Linked DNA regions of Lytechinus pictus. The protein of the gene in region 2 interacts with the protein of the main gene of each other region in a pairwise test. Links are inferred from orthologs where the notes say so. Each region holds a gene or a part of one and is shown on either strand. Other genes may lie near its edges.

Evidence for each region.
Region 1: the proteins of E3 ubiquitin-protein ligase Su(dx)-like (region 2) and ubiquitin-conjugating enzyme E2 L3-like interact in binary tests that used the Caenorhabditis elegans proteins (3 or more experiments, as listed by UniProt). The link is inferred for Lytechinus pictus from reciprocal best matches to the Caenorhabditis elegans genes wwp-1 and ubc-18.

The regions. Positions count from the first base shown.
Region 1 is NC_087246.1:913,143-924,324, reverse strand, and holds the start of ubiquitin-conjugating enzyme E2 L3-like, read right to left. Parts: upstream 5,225-11,182; 5' UTR 5,097-5,224; coding exon 5,070-5,096; intron 857-5,069; coding exon 761-856; intron 1-760. UniProt on the Caenorhabditis elegans protein: Ubiquitin-conjugating enzyme E2. Accepts ubiquitin from the E1 complex and catalyzes its covalent attachment to other proteins. Required for diet restriction-mediated lifespan extension, probably acting as part of a complex with ubiquitin-protein ligase wwp-1.
Region 2 is NC_087246.1:43,900,535-43,911,011, forward strand, and holds the start of E3 ubiquitin-protein ligase Su(dx)-like, read right to left. Parts: upstream 4,885-10,477; 5' UTR 4,752-4,884; intron 1-4,751. UniProt on the Caenorhabditis elegans protein: E3 ubiquitin-protein ligase which accepts ubiquitin from an E2 ubiquitin-conjugating enzyme in the form of a thioester and then directly transfers the ubiquitin to targeted substrates. Ubiquitinates klf-1.

The DNA.
Region 1 (11,182 bases), about 43 Mb from region 2:
CACATTCTTTCTCTTGATCAAGCTGAGTCTTTGACATGCCTTCAGTCCAATCACAGGCTGTACTTCAACTGAAATTCTATAGTAGTCAGGCAGCATTTGTCATCTACTTCGACAAGTTGGCTAAGATTGATTTTCCACTTTTATGTGATTATACTTTAAGATTATACTTTAAGCCACTCATTTAAATGGTGGTTAAACTTTTTGACTTGGCCCTACTCTGAATGATCAACATGTGGAAATATCAGTTGTAGTTAAATTACTAACATCAATATGCACATGGGAAAGGGTCACAAGCAAGCAAAGCAACAAAAGTTTGTTATTCTAACATTCATATGGGCATAAAAAAAAACATTTTAAGACAGTGATAAGAATGCAAGGCACTGATTTTGAACTTACCGTTTACCGGTATATGCTTTTGGGCCCCTTATATTGATGGGTCAAAAAATATGGGAATATTCCTAATTTTCTCATTCATTCCCAACTAAATCAAAATACCCTCAATGAAATAGATGGCAATTTCATAGATGTGAAGATGTGATTTTTGGGTAGGAAGGATCCTTTTTCTTCCGGTTCACACAAAGCACTTCAAAAATAGCAGGTCAATTTTTAACTAAGAAAACAGTGACAATGAAGGGTATCCAAGCTTCAACTCCCCCCCCCCCCCCAAAAAAAAAAAAAAAACATAAAAATACAAGGTGAAATTATTACAAGTCTGAAATGTAAATAAATGCACGGAATTTTCCCCAAACTGTCTACTTACCGGTGCTATAGTAAGTTCCCATTTTAGAATGTTTGTGTCATTTACTATTACTTCTTTAAGACATGCTACATTACTTTTTTTGATCTCCTCCAGCTCCTATAAATAGCAAAGAGAATGAAAACAAATAAAGATCATTAGAAATATACAGAGTTAAATCACATCAGGACACAATGAGAGAAAGCTCAGCAACATTTTGTTCACAAAATCAATGGGATACACATACGTCTCTGCAATGTATGCCTCTCTTTGTCGCAATGCCGATATCATGAAATTGTAAACACACTATAATGAAATCATGTCATGAGTCTTTCCGCACAACTTTGAGACTTGTCTTGAAGCATGTAATAATAATAAGAGGCATTTGTACATGTATAACGCCATCTATCAAGAAACAATCTATTCAGAGTGAGTCACATTGTTATTATTACCCCGGCTTCAGCTCGAGCTGCCTTTCAGCGCTCGTGCATTCAAAGAATTAATGCTGCCGGGTTCCCATTCACCTCACCTGGGTCCAGTACAGCACAGTGTGGATAAATTTCTTGCTGAAGGAAAATTCACCATGGCTAGGATTCGAATCTACACCCCTCTTGTTTAAAAGACAAGAGTCAGAACCACTAGACCACGACGCGCCCATTGTGAATGTGAAATAGGTAGCCTAAGTGGGGTGATTTGTCTGTCCATGCTGCTGAACTTTGTCTCACTATATCTAAAAAAGGCTTTGTAAGTTAAATGTAGGCCCAAAATTCATTGTGAACTGTTGATTAGCAATTGATTGTGGATGTGCTTCAGAACAGATACATGCAATCTTTAAAATTCATTGTCTTTTCAATATTGTAATATCATGTTCATCTTTTTCCAAATACAGTTCAGGGTCAAGAAAATTTGTATATGGGCAGATCCAACAACCAGAACCAGAGAATTTAAACCATACATTGTTTCAATTGTCTATCAGTGTGATTGTCACAATCATACGGTGATTTCAAGTACGATTTTGACATCTGGTGCTGAGACAACACCAACATCAGTTACAACACCGTACTTGAAGTGATGCTTGTGTTGGAAATGACCTCAGAAAAATGACATATTTCCAGCAATTCGTGTTGAAGGCTGGTGTTGAATGTCGTTTGCTGAATCCAGCACTGCGGCTGGTGTTGACGATCTATGTGCAATTTCCCCATTTACCATCAACAACCCCCAGGAATTAGGAAAATTGTGATTTCAAGTTCGATGTTGGTGTTGGCAATCTCAAGCTCGCGAACACGATGAAACAGCCTCATAAAATTAGCTTTTACAGTTAAGATGAGTAGACTCTACTAATAATTTGAGCTTTATGTATTTTGATGAACAATAATGTTTACTCTTTTGAATTCTTGAATTAGTTAAAGCTTCTTAGCTCAGTATTTTAATTCCAGAAATATCATTGGTTCTATTAATTGAGAATCAGTGGCAAGATCTTTGTCAATTCATCAGAATAAGCTTAAACTTCATCATGGTCAAGCGAAAGGAACTTAGTGACGACCTGAGATTGCGAATAGTGAATGCTCACAAAGATGGTTTGGCTACAAGGCAATGTCCAAGCGTTTTAAGGTTCATGTGGCTACTGTCCAGAGCATCATCAGAGAGTTCAAGACTATCAACAAAGTGGAGATTCTTAAAAGACCTGGAGGGAAGCGCAAAGTCTTGGCAAGGCAAGCAAGATGTTTAGTTTGAGCTGCTGCTGTCAACCCCAGAATCACCAAAAAGGAGATGCTAAAAGATCTCAATGGCCAAGGGACCAAGATCTCCATGCAAACCATCCAGAGGACCTTGAATAAGGCAGGATTGAATGGATGACGACCATGGAAGACTCCACTCCTAAAACCAATTCACACAAGATCACGTTTGGACTTTGCCAGAAGACATCTGGGAAAAGATAAAACTTTTTGGAGGTCTATTCTTTGGACTGATGAAATGAAGATGCAGCTGTTTGGACACAGAGATGTCGCCTACATCTGGAGGATGAAAGGGGAAGCCTTTAGCCCAAAGAACACAGTGCCCACAGTAAAACATGGTGGAGGGAGCATAATGCTTTGGGGCTGTTTTTCAGGCAGTCTGCTGAAACACTTCAACTTGGACCTGATTGGATCTTCAAACAGGACAACAATCCAAAGGAGAAGGTCAAAACATGGTTTCAAGAGCATGCAGTCAACGTACTGGAGTAGCCGAGCCAAAGTCCTGATTTACACCAAATCGAAAACCTTTGGAAAGAGCTCAAGGTGAAGGTCAACGCAAGGAAGCATAGCAAACTGAAGGACTTGGAGAGGATTGCAAATGAGGAATGGACCAAAATCCCTGTAGAGACATGCAAGAACTTAGTAACAAACTATAGGAGATGTCTGGAGGCAGTCATTGATGATAAAGGCTATTTAATTTATTAACTTGTGGTTCAGGGCAGGGGTATGAATACTTTTGGACATCAGAAAATCCAGGAACGTTCTATTCTTTTGATATGCAAATGAGGTGAAAATAAAAATGGCATGCTTTTGTACATAACTCTGTTATGTTGGTTGTTCCGCTGAACTCCGTTGGCTCCACTCACCAATTACAGAGACCCAAGTTCTAACTCGATCTATTCAGGGACTCAATGGCCATATGTTTATGTATTAAGTTTGGATCAACCAGGAAGTGGGAGTTGCACGACAGCCGAAGTAAATCACTGTTTTTTCCACCTTTTAAGTTTATTTTTTCCCGTTTTGGTGCGTTTCAGGCCAAAAAGGAATAACAATCTCTATTTTGGTCAATTTTTGAATTGTTAACCCCCTAATGGTGGCTGTATGATAGCGAGCCGTCTGTGTACGAGGAGAAATAAAAAAAATTAAAAATGTTTTAAAAACTCCTCGAAACAGACGGCTGCCAGCTGTCTAACCTAAATGTATTTGACTGATTTGTAACCGAATCCAATTCTATCAAAAATGCAAAAAAATGTGGTTTTCCAAGGGGTATGAATACTTCTGAGCACAACTGTATGATGGGGTGACCATAATTTGCGCGCATTTTAAAAATCGTCATGAAGTTGATTTTCAATAAAAAATTTCTCACAGCTCACACAAAATTAATCAAAAATCATAAATACCAAACGGAAAGCAAGATCCCGTAGTCAAATTCGCTGCTTGACGGAATTGTAAAGTAGGTCACGGGTTTCGTTGGCATCGCGATCTCAAATTTCCATGATGATCGACTAGCGCACGCTCGGCTGAAAAAGTGTCATAAAAAAGTGTGACCTTAATTTGCGCACGATCGTTTTGCAAGGCTTTCGAAAAGAAATCAAGCAAAGGTAAGATAATTATATCAGATGGAGGTTAAAATGCCATAAATTCGGTTGGTATCACATTTTACTTACTTATTTGGAGACCTCGGCTTGCAAACTGGCGATTTCTTGATGCTTGTCGAGAGGGTCGGATTTTCTCGGAGCGGATGCAAAAGTTAACAAAATTTGCCGATGTTTTGCCAATAACAAATTGAGACCTTACCTTTAAGAAAATTAAATATTAAGTCGCTCTTTCTGTTGGTGATATCAGTTTTTCAAAATATTAATTAAATATTGAAGTATTCGACCATGTGCAAAATTAGGTAACGGCTAACGCGCGAATTAAGGTCACACTCACACTACCATATATCTGGGCACATAACATCGGTACCGCCGTTTCATAAAGGCTTTAATAAAGCCGTTCATAAGTTAAGAGTACCGGCCTTATCGTAAAATTTGTCACCTCTCTTCTCGTGTGTGTCGGTGTGTGCACGCTCGTTGTGTACAAAGTCAATGGGAGTGGAAAGATGTCACCACCGCCGACTAAATAAACGGCAGTGAATGGACTGGTGACATAAACCACGATAATGCCAGAGTACCAATACTCGAAAAAGTCCAACTAAGACTAAGAGTAAGACTAAGAGCGACTTTAAAAACGACTGGTGATCCTTTCTTACGTGCTAAACCGTCGCCAATATCACATAAACCACAAGAAAGGACCGCCAGTCGTTCTTGAACTGTCGCTCTTAACTTACGAACAGCTTTATGAAACACTCACCCGGTACCGTACGTGAATGAGTTTTGTTTAATGTTTCATGTACTGAGTCTATGTAGCTCCCGACATGCCCGTGTGACGTGAAGACCGAGCCAAGTGGAAGTGGTCGTCAAAACATTTGCAATGGGTCTCAACGAAATCACAGACACATAAGTAGCTCTTAAAATTACTGAGCAAATTAGAAATAAAAATTCATGCACTCAATTCTTATTGAGATGAAAAGCGGTAGGAAAAACTTGACCTCTTACCTTCCCTAATCTCTTTGTGGCCGCCATGATTGCTGTATGTTGAGAAATCAATGCGCGCCCTCGACGTCGACGTACTATACTAGAGCTAGCTGCGATGATAGCACGAGCGCTACGCGACGACAGTTCAGCGGCAAATTCGGTGGTCGAGGTGACCGGTGGTTGCCAGCCAGCCAGTCAGCAGCAACACATAACAGTACCGGTATCTCTCTTGCAAGTTTTTTTTTGGGGGGGAGCAAGATAGGAACAGGGTAATTTAATTGTTTGGAGGGGGTGGGAGGCAGGGGCGGATTTTCCAAAGGGAGGGGGCACATTTTGCAGAGGGAAAATTTTGATTGACAAGCAAAAAAAAAGGGGGTCTTCATTTTCAAAGGGGGGACACACTTTTGTTTTAACGGCATTTTTACATTACAAATTTTAATTGTGCCTCTCAAAAGGGGGGCACGGGCCGCCCCCCCCCCCCCTGGATCCGCCAGTAGTGGGAGGCATAGTAAATTGAGCGATCGAGGGGCGGCGCAACGACTCGGAGGAAAAATGATTTTCATCCATTTTTACCCCGCTTTTAATAAGAGCTACAGTATATAAGCTATTTTTTCAGAAAGGGGGTGGGGGCTGGGGAAGGGGAGCCGGGAGGGGTCACAGAGTACCCATGCATGTCAAAACAACCCCCCCCCCCCAAACAAAAAAAAAAGAAGAGAATTATAATCATTGTCTGATTCCGTTAGAATTTACGACTAAAGGCGGTGTCCACGTTTTTGGGAAATTCAATATTTTTCAGTTTTACGATTGGAAAAAATGTGACTTAATAACTGGTTATTAAAAGTCACAGGGGGCAATCTGCCCCCTCCCCCTAATGGGTTTCGCCGGGAACTTAAAAAAATGGGGAAAAGGAAAGAAAAATATAATAGATTAATACAGTATTCCATTCATGTCGTCATGTGCTCATATTCAAATTCTAACATTTTCTCGCTCGGTCGCTAAACACTCCCTCGCAAAATATCACCTGAATGAAGAATACATTAATGCTCTCTTAAAGTGTGAGTATAGTAACCATTGACACTAAATTAAGATCATTCTATTTTAAGATTTTTCATAAAGCCATAACATTAAATGATTTTGTATATAAGATTAAATCTAAGGACTCACCCAATTGTGTTCTCTGTGATAAAAGTGAGGAAACAATAGTCCACCTGTTTTGCGAATGTGAAAGGGTAATTCCTATTTGGCAATCCCTTTTAACAAAAATTTCCCAAAATAATGTTCAAATAAATGGTTCTAATTTTGAAAAAATGTTTGGACTCCCAGCTGATAAGTTCATTTCATACCTTTTCTTACTTTTGAAGTATTATATTCATATATGTAAATTTAAGAATAATCCTCCAAGTTATGCTCTTTTTAAAACATTTGTTAAAGACAACAGGACTTGGAATATTTGATAGCTAAGAAAAATAATAAGTTGCCCGCTCACTTTAAGAAGTGGCGATTCACCTTATAATTTGGTTTTCAAAAATGTCAACAGGTTACATGATAACTAATAATGTATATTTTGTATAACAGGCTTAGTGCCCCATTTTTAAAAATAATACTGCACTGTTTTGGTTATATGGTTGTAGACATCAGGGGAGCGTTTCATGAAAGGACTTGTCGGACGTTTTATCCGACAAGTCCCATTTTATCCGACAGTTACCATAGTAACAGTACCTCTCAGCCAATCAACATCAGAGAAAGATGTCAGATCTGACAACTTGTCGGATGAAAATGTTGATGAAACACTCCCCAGTTCCCATTTTTTCATGCAACTTGTATCTCAGTTTCCTTGATATACTTGTTCGTTTAAAAACCTTATGTCGTCTTGGATAACCAGTTGTGTTTTTTAATCCTATCAATAGTTGTTGAGAAACCATTTTATAATCATAGCTTGTATATTTTGTTTTGTCTACTTTATTTACCAAATCACCTATCTTTGTTTAGATAACACTGATATTAAGTTATCACTTTGCCACATTCCTTTTTTGGGGGGTGGGGGAGGATAAGTGGGTAGGTTTTTTTTTTATTATTATGGTTATTTTGTCTTTTTTGTGTAACTAACTTCGTCCCTAATTTCACGAAGTGACGGATGAGCGCGCAACTTTTAAAAAGTTAGTTTTGAGTAAATCGCGTTCAAATGTTTAGACTTCAATCTCAACGTCTTCCACGCATGCAGGGTGGATAAATGTCATATCCTCGTATTGGGCATATTCTGGACAATATTCAAGTCCAATTATTTGCATTTTCCTTTAATATTTAAGAAGATAATGAGCTCTAAGCAGAACCATATTTTCGTGAAAAAAATATATTACGATACGCACTTAGATTTATTTTTACGAAGTGACGGATAGTGCTCCGCTCGCATAACCGTCACTTCGTGAAAATCCGAAATTCAAGGACGCGCTTCAATTTTGTTTTTACGAAGTGACGGGAAGAGGCTCTGTCGTAGTCCCACGTATAGCCTTGTCGATGCAATGCGATAAATGAGGTCTAAATATACATAATCTCTTTATTTGCTATTGTAAGAAAAATCAATTCCAAATGTCAGATTAATTAGGCCTACATTTACTTCTTTTAATTAAAAAAAAATCACTTTGAATACTTTGATTACATTTTTCAAGTTATAACAGGAAGACCAATAGACACACGTGTTATACTTAAGCCTATTTCATTTTAATATTCATGATATTATCTTCATTTTTGAGGGATGAACTCTGATATACGGAAACTTCCTAACAGGATATGAATAAAATCACTACAATAGATACAACACATTTCGTCTTCGTAATTCTATGTTTGAGAAAGGACTATTAAAGGAGAATGAAACCCTTGAAACCAGCTGAATCCATATCAAAGAGAAAAATCAAAGAAACATATTGTTGAAAGTTTGAGGAAGATTGAATGAATAATAAGAAAGTTATGAGCATTCGAATATTGAGATCACTAGTGCCATGTAGATCCTCCCAACGGCAATGCGACCAAGATCTGTGATATCACACACGTACAACTCCCTCATTACTTTAATTAGTACTTATTTCACTTATATTCTCACTTTTATAGAGTCTATCACAAGGTGAGGTCTTCTCTTTATGAGATGACAAGTACAGAGGTTTCACAACATTATATCATTGATGAATCGTTTGTCATATGATTAGAATGAGCAAAAAGAGATGTTTTGGGGTATATTTTCAGTGTCCAAATGGGAGAGTTGTACGTGTGTGACATCACAGATCTTGGTCGCATTGCCAATAGGAGGATCTCCATAGCATTAGTGATCTCGACATTCAAATGCTCATAACTCTTTTATTGCTAGTCCTATTTTTCTCAAAGTTTTGTTGATCTTATTCTTTGATTTTTCTGCTTTCACAAAAGCTAACTTGCTCCAAGAGTTTCATTCTCCTTTAAGCAAAGACTCCGTTGGAGTAGAAAATGCAACATTACAAATTAAACCTCTCCACCCTCCTAAAAATATGAAATCCCAATTAAGTTTCTCTTAAATGTTGTTTATAATCTTAAAGGTATTCTCTGTTAAGGCCGACTCGTTAGCTATTCAAAATTATTCTTTGAGACTTAATTACCTCGAAAATGGTACAAAACTGAATGTGGAACTAACTTTTTAAAATGGCAACAAGAATTGGTAAATTATGACTGATTGCCACCCCCAACCACCCCCCCCCCCCCAAAAAAAATAAGAATTTGTCAAAACAAAGCGAGCAAATTTCGAGTAGAACCACTCTTGCCCCCTTCTCTTTCTCTACTCAAGTTTTCCTTTATCAAAATGGTCATGCATTCTCCCCTGGAAATCATATAAAAATACCCTTTTTATGCAAAATAAGAGATATGACTTGTCATAAATCATTGAAAATACTAACTATATAAAACAAATTCCACAAAGTTAGCAATGTAAATAAATTTAGAAGAACTCTTTTAATTTTATAACATATGAAACCATAGCAGCAAGTGACAAATAGACAAGTAAAATATGACATTTTTTCATATCAATCATTATGATAATGGTTATGCTTTACCAATTCCATACAATGTTAACAATGGAAATATATCTTTAATTCAATAATATATCGGACCATAATCGGACCTAGTGACAAACACATCGACATTCATAATTATTATAATGAAACTAATATTGCACTGCTAAATGTATAAGAAGTGAATTGTCAGGTACACATTGACAGAATTTTATCATTTTATACATTAAATAGAACTTGAACATATGCAACAATATATTTATTTGTATATCATGCCCTGCTTAACACAATCAGCAATCCTAGTCTGTGAATGCCACATTTTGAAATACAGAATTGCTAACAAGTACCAAATTCAATAAGTTACTCTACTCTCAAAATATTCCAATGTCAAATGAATAAATCTTCCATCACAAGAATACTGGAATATAATCAATGCTAGTGGTGCAGGAAAGTTGTATTCTCTATGTCTATTTGTATTGACATACATATATACAAGTAAAATGGTATATTTCTTTTCCATCAAAATAGAAGTAACATAATCACCATTATTTATTACATTCACTACACTTTTTTTAAAATAATGTCATAATTAAATCAGTCGATCACAGTTGCCTTGAGAGTTATTTCATCTTTTTACACATTGTCAAGTACTAAAAAGTCTATTAGTGCTAAAAGCTAATCTTTACCAAAGGAAACATGTAAACCTTTGAATAAAAAATTATCGACTAATGAAACTCAAACAAGGAAATATAATTTTAAATCAATTATTTAACTTCGTATCAAACAGGATCATTTATTAACAAATTCATAATCAAAATCCCGAACGACAGCGGCAAAAGCAACCAAAAAAATGCAGTAATAAAAATACGAATGACTTAGTAGATTTGTATTTTTCCATCTTTCTCAAGTTATTGGCTAAATACACTCATCAATACAATTTCCAATCAAACACTTGTTTTTTAATAGCAAATTATTGCCAGAGTCCAAAAACAGAAAGATCCATTAAATACACCTTAGTTCCAACTTTGAAAACTTTACATTAAATTGTCATGATTTTAGCAAGTAACATCTTTGAATTAGTGGGATCATGTACAAATATGTGAAATTCTTACTACAAATATACAGAAAAAACATGTGCTGCAGTGTATCTTTAACCTCAAGCTAATGTAAAATTTCTGCTAAAAATAATCATGTATTAATTCTTTCCTGAATATCATTCATTAGAAAATAAACAGTTGGGTACTCTAGAATAAAATGATGACTCATCAACTGTAAAACTGCATCAACCAGGTGTGAAGAGTGTCAGGGGATGAGACTGAATGAGCTCTCAAACTACTGTACACAAAAAGGGATATCAAGCTGAAAATAAAAAGTTAAAATAGCTGAAATCAGCTTAAGAATTCTCACACCCCTAATAGACAAAAAAAAAACTCATGGAAGGGGGGGGGGGGTCTGTATTAACACATCTGGCTTTTGAAGATGAATTCATGAAAACCTAATATGATTTTCACCCTTACTAGTAATATATCCTGTAACAATCAAACAATGCATGTCAGTCTAAATTGTATGGTTATGTTATTATAAGTAAGTATGAAGTATCAATGCAATACTTTTAAGCACAATAAAGCTAGTAACATTCTGTTTTACAAAAATGTAGGAATATGCAGTATTTTTTTTTAGATGGCACCAAGTAAAATGAAAACATACCAACAAAATGAATAAAGAAGGGTAATTCTTTTGCATCCATATGCGGACGATGTGTATTTATAAGCAATTTAAACATGTGGTAAGTATAGCAGATAAATGACTATTCTGAACTTTATATTTGACTGTATATATAAAACATATTTGAAGGAGTTCATAATCATATCACTGTAAGAGCACAGACTAGTTCAAGCAACATGGTTTCTTTATATAATACACTGCTCTAAAACTGAAACCAGATTTGAAAGTCCTATCAAAATTAAAACTAAACTTATGTTGAAGTCAAAATCACAAGAAAATTAATATTGGTATCAGTTACCCAGCTAGAAACTAAAGAAAAAGTTAGATGAGAGCCCTGAACCTGAAAGGCCATGAGGCAGAGCCAACTCCTTCACATTT
Region 2 (10,477 bases):
TTGGGCAGATCAAAATTCCCTGGTTTTACAATGACTGGAAAAATGTAAACAAATCCCCGATTTCCTTGATGGGCTGGGAACCATGCCAATCCATTTTAAGTTCAAGTATCGTCCGTGCATGCAGTGATGTAATGATTATGAGTATGATATGATTTTCATCATCTATATAATCGATATGTATGCTTAATTATAAGAATTACAGTTGATTAGAATAATTCATTTGATGAGCGTCTATCTCGTCATCGATAGTCTTTCACGGTGCAGGTTTTGCGCCCACCAGCCCTACCCCGGCTCTACCCTTCCGGATCCTGGCGACATGTATTAACTGATGCATGGTATTTATCCACTGCGTATATTTGTTAATTCTAGATCAAATGCATAATAATGAATGATGTTATGTTAGAATAAATGGACATTAGACCAAGTGTGAATAAGACCAAGTGACGATTAGCCCAACTGGGTATTAGACCAAGTGGCGATTAGACCAAGTGATAATTAGACCAATTGGATATTACACCAAATGGAAATTAGACTAAATGGAAATTAGACCAAGTGGATATTAGACCAAACGGTCATTAGACCATGTGACAATTAGACGAAATGAAAATTAGACCAAGTGGAAATTAGACCAAGTGGTGTTAGACCAACTGGAAATTAGACTAAATGGGTTTAGCCCAACTGCTCATTAGACGAATTGGATATTAGACCAAGTGGGAATTAGACGAATTGGATATTAGACCAAGTGAAAATTAGCCCAACTGGTTATTAGCCCAAATGGAAATTACACGAATTGGATATTAGACCAAGTGGGAATAAGACGAATTGGATATTAGACGAACTGGTTGTAGACGAAATGAGTTTAGACTATGTGAAGTTGGACGAACTGATAAGTAGACCAAGTGGTATTAGACCATCCGATAATTCACCATTCATAGACGCAGTGTGATGTAACATTAAGAAAAAAGAGTAAATACATGTAGCATCAGATGAGGGATTTTTTTCTACAAACAAGTTTTCAGCAATCAAAATTGCACAAAAGGTGTACTGGCTATCTGTTATAATCTGAAGATTCAGACACATCAAAGTCATCACTGTCAGTCTATACTGTCAAAATGAGGTCATAATTAACAATAGATTGATTTATCTCTGAAGTCTTTAATTAGTTTGTGCTTTTCCTTTTGGAATTTTTGCAGCTTCTAAATTTTATTGAAGGTGTAACCTACAACTATATTTTATCTCTCCTCATTTTCTATACATCAGACAGCCACAATGTCAATCGTGTTAATTTCATGATTTACATCAATTAATTATACTAATTAGCTTAATAGGTATCCTTTAAACTTAAAAGTTCAAATTTGACCCACTTATGATCAAAGAATAAGCCAGTGAACCCCAAAACTATTACATATTTAGGTAATGTGATGTTACATATTTAGTTTCTTAATGAAATAAAAATCCATGCTCCCCTCGTCTACCACCATGCAAAAATGGACAATTGATGTTACATAATTGCTAATTACTGGTAAATGAAGTAATCTCATGTATTTCTTTTTCTTTCAAGTAATTGGTATAAAGATTCCCTTTGATGTGATACCAAATATACCCATGTAGCACATCTATTTCAAGTTTTATACCATTAATCATTTCTGTGCTTGTCGTGCACATGTAACATAAAACGCATGGCCATATGCGATAGCTATTTAGTGCATAAAGATAAACCTTATATAAGGGATAGGTAGTTTTTATGCCTTGGTATTTTATCATCTGTAAATGGCGTTGAGTCTGGAGTTGACGTTGATGTCATGACAGTATTATGACGATAGTAATGATGTCCGTCGAGTGAAAGGGTTACTCAGGCGTAGAGGTGTATCTGTGATGTAATGCCTAGTTAAGTTGAATCAGTCAGGGCGAACCTCACAGGACGACATTTTAAACGGTCAACATTAACTTCAGTATCCCCTACAAGTTCTAAAAACTGTTTTGCTATATTCTGATGCATAAAATGATTCTTTATGGCTGATTGATCAGGAGGTATAATTGCATTACTGAATATATTGAATATTTGATCCTTGTTGAAATTGATGACTGATTTTCTATGTTCTGTATTGAATGTTTATATCCATATTTTATGTTTTGAATTTGAATTCGAACTGATGTTACCATTGTTCCAAGGAAAACTTGAAATTGAAGATTGGAATTCACTTTGATTCCCTTAAAAATCTGCTGTCAATTGTTACTTTTTCTGAGTTCCATATTTAAGAAGTTGCCACTGGACCAACAAGCTATCACACCCTCCCCTTGGCTGTGAACAGGTTCACCTTTTTATGGTGAAATGGTTGACAAGAGACATCCATACATCCAAAAAAACATCCATGCAAGCGAATACTAAGCATGCCTTTCAGCATGCTGGGTGCCCCACAAAAATAGACAAATTTGTTGAAAAGTTTATTGCAATCCCCATTCTCAGGATGTTTATTCATAAAGAAAACCCTAACCAGCTGGAGCAAGGCTTATTAATGGAAACCTTAAATACATGTACACCATTGTACATGTATTTAAGAGTCTGCCTGATTTTATTAATGATAATGGTAAAACTATATATGGGAATAAGGATATTGGAAACACTTTTAATAATTTTTTTGTTAAAATTGGTCTCTGCCTAAATGGTAATTGCTCAAGTAGTAAAGATTTTGCCAAATTCTTACCCAATAAGTGTTTGCAATCATTGTTTTTTAAACCAGTGAATCAAAATGAAGTAGTTGATATTGTTAAAAATATAAAATGTAGCAGTAGTTGTGGTATCGATGATTTAAATCCAGTTGTAATCAAGAAAGTGATTGTATTCATTCTGCATCCTTTATGTCATATTTTTAATTTATCACTATCTTCTGCCATAGTTCCTTCTAAAATGAAAATCTCAAAAGTTATTCCAGTACATAAAAAAGGTGATCTACATGATGTCTCTAATTATCGTCCCATTTCACTACTACCATATTTTTCAAAGATTTTAGAAAGAATTGTTTATAATCGATTATATAATTTTCTTAACTGCAACTCTCTTTTAAATGATGTGCAATATGGATTTTTAAAAAATGTTTCCACTGAAATGGCCCTAATTAACTTACATGATTATGTTATCAACTCACTAAATAAAAAATTACACACTATCGGAATATTTTTAGACCTTAGCAAGGCTTTTGACTGCATTGATTATAATATACTTTTACACAAATTACAGTTTTATGGAATTAGGGGTCATGTATTAAGTTGGTTTCAGAATTATTTATTAAATCGTGTGCAATACGTATCATATAAAAATGTTTTATCTGAACCATTAAATGTTTTATGTGGTGTGCCCCAAGGATCAATCCTCGGACCGCTATTATTTTTAATATTTATTAATGATTTACCAAAATGTTCAGACAAATTGAAATTTTTGTTATTTGCGGATGATACCAATATTTTAGTTTCTGATACTACACTACAATCTTTGAATAATGTTTTGAATCAAGAATTACCTCATGTAACCGCATGGTTTTACTATAACAAACTCTCTTTGAATATGGATAAATCGAACTATATATTATATCATGGACATAATAGAGTAAAAGATATTGAAGTATTAGATATTAAAATGAATAATCAAGTTATCAAACGTGTAAGTAACTCAAAGTTTTTAGGCGTTTTAATTGACGAAAGACTTTCATGGAATAATCACATAATGGATGTGACAAATAAAATATCTAAGAATATCGGTATCATCCGCAAACTTAGTGATTTCTTGCCTCAACACATTCTTTTAACTTTGTATAATACCTTAATCTTGCCTTACTTGTCTTACTGTAATGTAGTGTGGGCAAATACATATCCTTCAAAACTAGAAAGATTGTTTATTTTACAAAAAAGAGTAATCCGAATATGTTCATTTTCTCACAGATTGGCCCACACTAAAGAACTTTTCGTGAAATTTAATGTTCTAAATATCTATCAACTCAATTCCTACTTTTGTGCAATATTAATTTTTAAACATAAACATAATATACTCCATAATTCAATATCGTCTATGCTTGATTTAAATGTTAATATTCATGATTATAATACAAGAAACAAAAATAATATCACTTATGGACTGTAAATAAAAATTATGTATTATTCTCATTTAGACACCATGCTCCAGCTGTTTGGAACAATCTTCCAATAGAAATAAGATCAATCAGTTCAACGAACGCTTTTAGCAGGAAATTGAAACTATATTTAATCAATAGTGTGTGAAAGCAAGGATTTTTACTGCCTTTGTGTGTTTATGTATTGGGTTTGTGCGGTTAAAGGTGTTTTAACTTATGTTTATAGTATTACATGTACATGTATTATCAAATGATTTCAGTTATTGAATTAAATTTTAAATGAGCATTTTATCAAATTTGTAATTTCAATTTGGCTTATTTTATTTTTTTATGTAAGGGTGGTTATCTCGACAAACCTTGATAGGTTTTTATGACCACCTAATTCCAATATTGTATCTCTTTATTGTCATTTGTATCTGTTTAATACTTGATTTACATGTACCTTATATTTTCTTGCCTTATTATTGCACATTGCACATTGTATTTGTTATTACTGTATTCTATACTCTGTATTGATTTTATTGGAATTGAATAAAACATTGAATTGAATTGAATTGAATTGAATTCAGTACGATAGGAAATAGGTAATTTATCCCCCTCCCCCAGTTAGATTGGTTTGTGTCTCACCATTTTGGGTGACTGCTCCTAGTGCAGTCAGGGTTTCCTGGGATATACTGAGGCCATCCAGGACAAGATGGAGTTCCCCACTCTTCTGTGTAGCCTTGCCCTCTGACCTCAGCTCGACTGGTAACTGTACATTCTTGACTGCACGGTGAGAGAAAATTAGAGAGAAAGAAAGACAGAGGGGCAGGAAGAAAGAAAGCCAAATGAGAAGAAAAAAATCATAAGATGAGATGAGGTGTGTGTTCAGAGAAAAAATAATGACATCGTAATTATGAGAGTGAAAAAAGAATAAAAAAATACAAATATAATATGATTGCAATAGTCAGTGAATTAAGCTATTAATTCAGCTATCAATTAATATTATCAAAGTCCACACTAAAAAGAAAATAAATGAATCAGTAAATTGCCATTCATCTATTGCCAACTCGTCCACTCACCACTTTGTCTAATCACCAGTTCGTCTATGGCCATTTGGTCTCATAACCAGTTGGTCTAATATTCATTTCATTTTCATTCATTTTGCACAATTCACACTTAGTCCAATTAGACCATATGGACTAAATGTCTATTGGACCAACTGGTTATTAGATGAAATGGTTAGTGGACGAATTGGCAATTATACCATGTGGATAGTGGACAGAATTGGCATTGGACGAATTGGCATTAGACGACCAATGAATTGCTTCAAAATGATTATATTTCACATCAAATGACATAAAAAAACAAGTAACCAAGACAAGTCATATGCAAACTGAGCTGTTATTTTCGCGTCCAAAACTTTTTGCGACTGCGGTCACAACATTTTCACGGGTTGTTGAATTCGCGATATGAAGATATACCAAACACTTTCACAACAAAAATAATGCAAAACATGTGCATAAATATGCTTCTCAAATCCTCATGCCGACGTGTTGTGTAATAACAATAATAATAATATGCAACATTTATATAGCGCTAAATACAATAAGCGCCGCATACTTTGTAAAAAATTTGTCCATGTAGAACAGTTAAAAGTGAGAAAATACTGGCTGAAATTTCACTCTTTTGTACCTTTAACTCTAAAAATTCATGTCACCATTTGATCTGTAAGAGCAATCTAATAATGGCACGATTTCTTGGTTCCCACATTGGCACGATTTTATCATGCCAGTTCATGACAATGCAGGCCACGAAGGTTGTCAATAGTTCGTGCCATGGTCCCTTCTGGTTCACAAAATATTCACAAATCGTTCACATATTGTCACATCATTCAATTCATCATTATTCATTGGAGCATAAAATTGAACTCCATGAATTGTGGCTCCTTAAAGCCAAAATGTGCATGTGTATGCTTTTTAAGCGAGCATTTCTGAGATTTGGAGGAAGTATGCGTCACCTATTGTCGTGAAATAGTCATGAAATCATGCAATCCATGCTACAGCACGACTTGGCCCAACGAGGTTGTGTAAAGTTTACGAATAGTTCACGCCAACATTCCCGAAATTCGTTGTGACGGGAATTGAGAAATTCTAATATTTTGGAACAACGCTTCAAGCATTGTTCCGCATTGGTCCACACACTTACCGATATGGAACGACCAGAATGCTCAGTAGTGAGCATATTATTTACTAACAAGCTATACTTACCTATACCATCTCATCAAATTGCTAATCGTTACCCTGACTCGAATAGCCACCGGTAAAAAACTCCCCGAAAGAGGCTAACTGCAATCAGGTAGCCCGGGAAACCCGTCACGGAACGAGACCCATAAAACCCGCTCACCACATATAAGCCTCCTCTTTCGTAGCCAAGGAGGGGCGAAGTCTGCTGGGGAGGACGGGTGGGGAGTTATAGGTAAGTATAGCTTGTTAGTAAACAAATATATCAGGCTTTGAGAAAGTATAGTGGAATTATTTATCCAAGGTTGGTCTGGCAAGTACTATGGCGAAGCCCCGAGGGAAATATAGTAGTTTTGCCAGTCCAACCGAGGATTAATAATTCCCACTATGCTTTCGAATGAAACGCCTGATATATTTGTTTTATATCCTACTTTTAATAATTTATTAAAAGTCCGGTTACTTGAGTTGAATTACCTACTTTTCTCCGAGCCATATCGCGCTCAGCGGAACGCAGATTAGAGCCTGCGCCGACGCATCGCTGGACTTGCCCGGGAGAGAGAGCGCGCTGGCCGGTACGCCCGAGAGTTTAGCTCATAGGTTTAGCTAGATATCCAGTTTTGTGAAATAATGACGTCAGACCTCGATATATCCAAAAATATATCGAGGTCTGACGTCACGCAACATCATAGTTGAAATATATTCGGTCACATGATGCTACTTGAACCAATCACTATACAGGATTTACTCAATGTATGATATAATAAATAATATGCTCACTACTGAGCATTCTGATTTACTACACTGCGCTATACTTACCTATACCATCTCATCAAATTGCTAGAATAGCACAGAAAAAAAAACTGGAGGAGGGGCAGCAATGAGACCCTTCCCAGACATGTTAGCATAACAACGATACAAAAAACTGATTGACTATAAAAAAGAGTAGTCTCCCAACTGGAGAAGCTACTCTAGGAATAAAGGGATATAAATATCATCAACCTCGTTAAAGAAATATATCAACTGGAAATAGTCTAGGAACGATTAGGACAAGACAGAACCGCGGAGGCAAAACCTGTGTCTCGGCTAATTACATCAGATAAGTAATAAGATACAAAGGTATTGGAATTGGTCCAATAGGGCTGCCTGGAGGATCTCCTCCATAGAGGTACCCTGAAAGAGCACCCAAGATGCTGCTATGCCCCGTGTAATATGGCGCCCTCTCCACCCGACCTGATCCCCTGCACTAACCATCGAGAAATTGTAATTGGACTAACAGGGCCGTGAGGTTCTATTGAACTAATGAACAGTTGATGGGAAGTGCGAATACACTTAGTCCTATCAATGAACCACTTTAAGGCACGTACGGGACACCATAACCTATCTTTGGAAACTGACGAGAGATTGCTAATGGCTGAAAGAACAATTTCACAGGGTTTAGAGGTTTCTTTTTTATTCTTAGCTCTGTCCTTCTCCCAACGGATATGACCCGGCCTTACCGTGAGTGCATGAAGCAAACTACGTCTTTGACCTGAAGCTATAGCCATTAAGAAGGCTGTCTTAATGGACAGATCAAGGAGGGAGCATTTATGCATGGGTTCAAAGGGGGATTAGGCTAGGGCCCGAAGGACCCGTGGAAGGTCCCATTTGGGGAAGAGTCTTCGGCTAGGATTCTGTAAGAAAAAGGATCTTGTTATTCTGGCAAGGACAACTGAATTTGAGATAGTCTCCCCATTAGAGAAGCCCGAATGAATGGCTGCTATGGCTGATCTGTAACCCCTTATGGAGGAGACTGATAAACCTTCGTCAAATAATAGAAGTAAGAAATCTGCTATCTTACCTAAAGAGGCAGAGGTAGGATCAATCTGTAAACTGCCACACCACCGGAAGTATCTCTGGAGTCTAGAATCATAAGTGTTCCTGGTGGAGGATCGCAGGAATTTAGACGCCATGTCTGCAGCTCTCTCCGAAAGGCCCGCTTTAGTTGCTGATTTCCTGAGATGGGCCAGAGTGTTAGGCAAAGCCTTTCCGGGTTTGGGTAATAAGTGTCCGTCCCAGGTTGTTTCAAGAGGTCCACCAGTGGGGGTAGCCATTTTGGAGTCCCCACCACGAGATCTGTAAGTGTTGTGAACCATGGTCTCCTCGGCCACCAAGGTGCGATGAGGAGAACGTAAGCTTTTTCCTTCCTCACTTTCTCCAGCACTTGAGGTATTATGGGAAAGGGCGGAAAGGGGTAACCCAGGATCCCCTTCCATGGGATTGTTAGGGAGTCTGTCGCAAAGGCTGAGGGATCTTGATGCTTCGTGCAATAAATCGGGAGCTGCTTGCTCAGGGCTGATGCAAATAATTTATCTGAGGCTGGTCACCCTGACTGAAGATTCTCTCCACGATGGAGTGATTGAGTTGCCATTCTGACGGGAGATAACTTCCCCGAGAGAGGAAATCTGCTTTGTAGTTCTCTTTCCCTGGGATGTGGCAAGCCTTTAGGGTTATGCGATTATTCTGGCACCATGCTAGAATTTCCAATGTCAGGAAGCAGCGAGTAGGTGACCTTGTCCCTCCTTCCCTGTTTATGTAGGAGACCACTGTGCTGTTGTCTGATTTCACCAGAATGCACTGGTTGGCAACTTGGGGGAGGAAGGCAAGTAGAGCCAGTTGAACCGCCTTCATTTCTAGAGCATTGATATGCTGTGCTGAATCTCTTTCTTGACATTGGCCAGAGGCTTTGAATTTCCCCATGTGTGCTCCCCAACCCAGCTTTGAAGCATCGGTCGTTAGGGTGAGAGTTGGTTTCGTGTTCTTAGTTTGCTACCCTTGGTTCAGAAATCGACATGCTGACCACAGATGAATTGCATGCATCATCGCATCTGTCATGGGAACAAGATGGTCCCTGGGGTGAATTCTGGGCCTGAAGTGTCTCAGGAAGTGCAGTTGGAGTGGCCTCATATGTCATCTGCGCTGCGGGATTAGATCTACTAGGCTTGCTAATAGGCCTAGGAAAATTTGCCAAGTTCTGGCTGGCGAGTATGAGTTTGAGTAGAGCTCTGCACCTACTGACTGAATCCTCTTTATTCTGTGAGGGGAAGGGCGAACTATTAAGTTTGGGATGGATATTATCGCCCCTAGAAACTCTGGTGATATTGTTCGTGAGAACCTCGCTTTTTCTTCGTTGATCAGAAACCCTAGATCCGAAGCCAGCTTTCGGACAATGCTTACGTTGTAGACAAGAGTGGTCTTGGAAGGGCCGAGGAGGAGCCAGTCGTCCAGGTAACAGAAGATAGTAATGCCTCGCCTTCTTAACTCTGCGGCGAGGACTCTCACCAGTCGGGAAAATATCCTTGGGGCAGGCTTTAGGCCGAGCGGAAGGGCTATGAACTGGTAGCAAACGTCTCCTACTTTGAAGCCCAGAAACTTGCAGGCCTCTGGGGCTATAGGAACATGATAGTAAGCGTCTCTGAGGTCTATGGTGACTGCCCATTGGTTGGGTTTTATCAGAGGTAGGATGGTTGTAAGGGATTCCATTCTAAATGTCTGATCTGGAAGGAGTTTGTTTACCTTCTTTAGGTTGATTATCATGCGGAAACCCCCGGAGCGTTTCTTTACCAGGAAAACGAATGAGAGGATGAGGGACTTGTGGTCTGGCACTGTTACGATAGCTGCTTTCTGGAGTAGGGACTGTATTTCTGACCGGAGAGCCTCTCGGCGTGAAGGATCCCTTGGTATGGGGCTCTGTTGTCGAAAACGAGAAGGATGAATTACTCTTGGGAAATTTGGATTGTATCCCGACCTTATTATCTCTAGAACAAATATGTCTTTGGTTATCTTTTCCCAGTTCTGTAAGCAAAGAAGTAGTCTTCCCCCTACTGGGACTTGCTGAAGGTGGGGAAGGACTAGTGTTTGATTGTCAAAAGTCCCGGTTATGAGTGGGGGCCCTGAATTCGGTGCGGTGAAAGTGGGCCTGGCGGCCCCGTCCCCCACCCCGAGGTTTCCTATGACTTTCCCCGCTGCCCCTTTCATTCCTGGTGTCGCCACCAGAGCGAGGGAAGAAGGAGAGGGATAACCCCTTATGTTCATTGTAGGTCTGGGGTTGGGGTCTGGAGCTAGAGCTAGCATAAGGGGGTCTCTGGGCCTGGC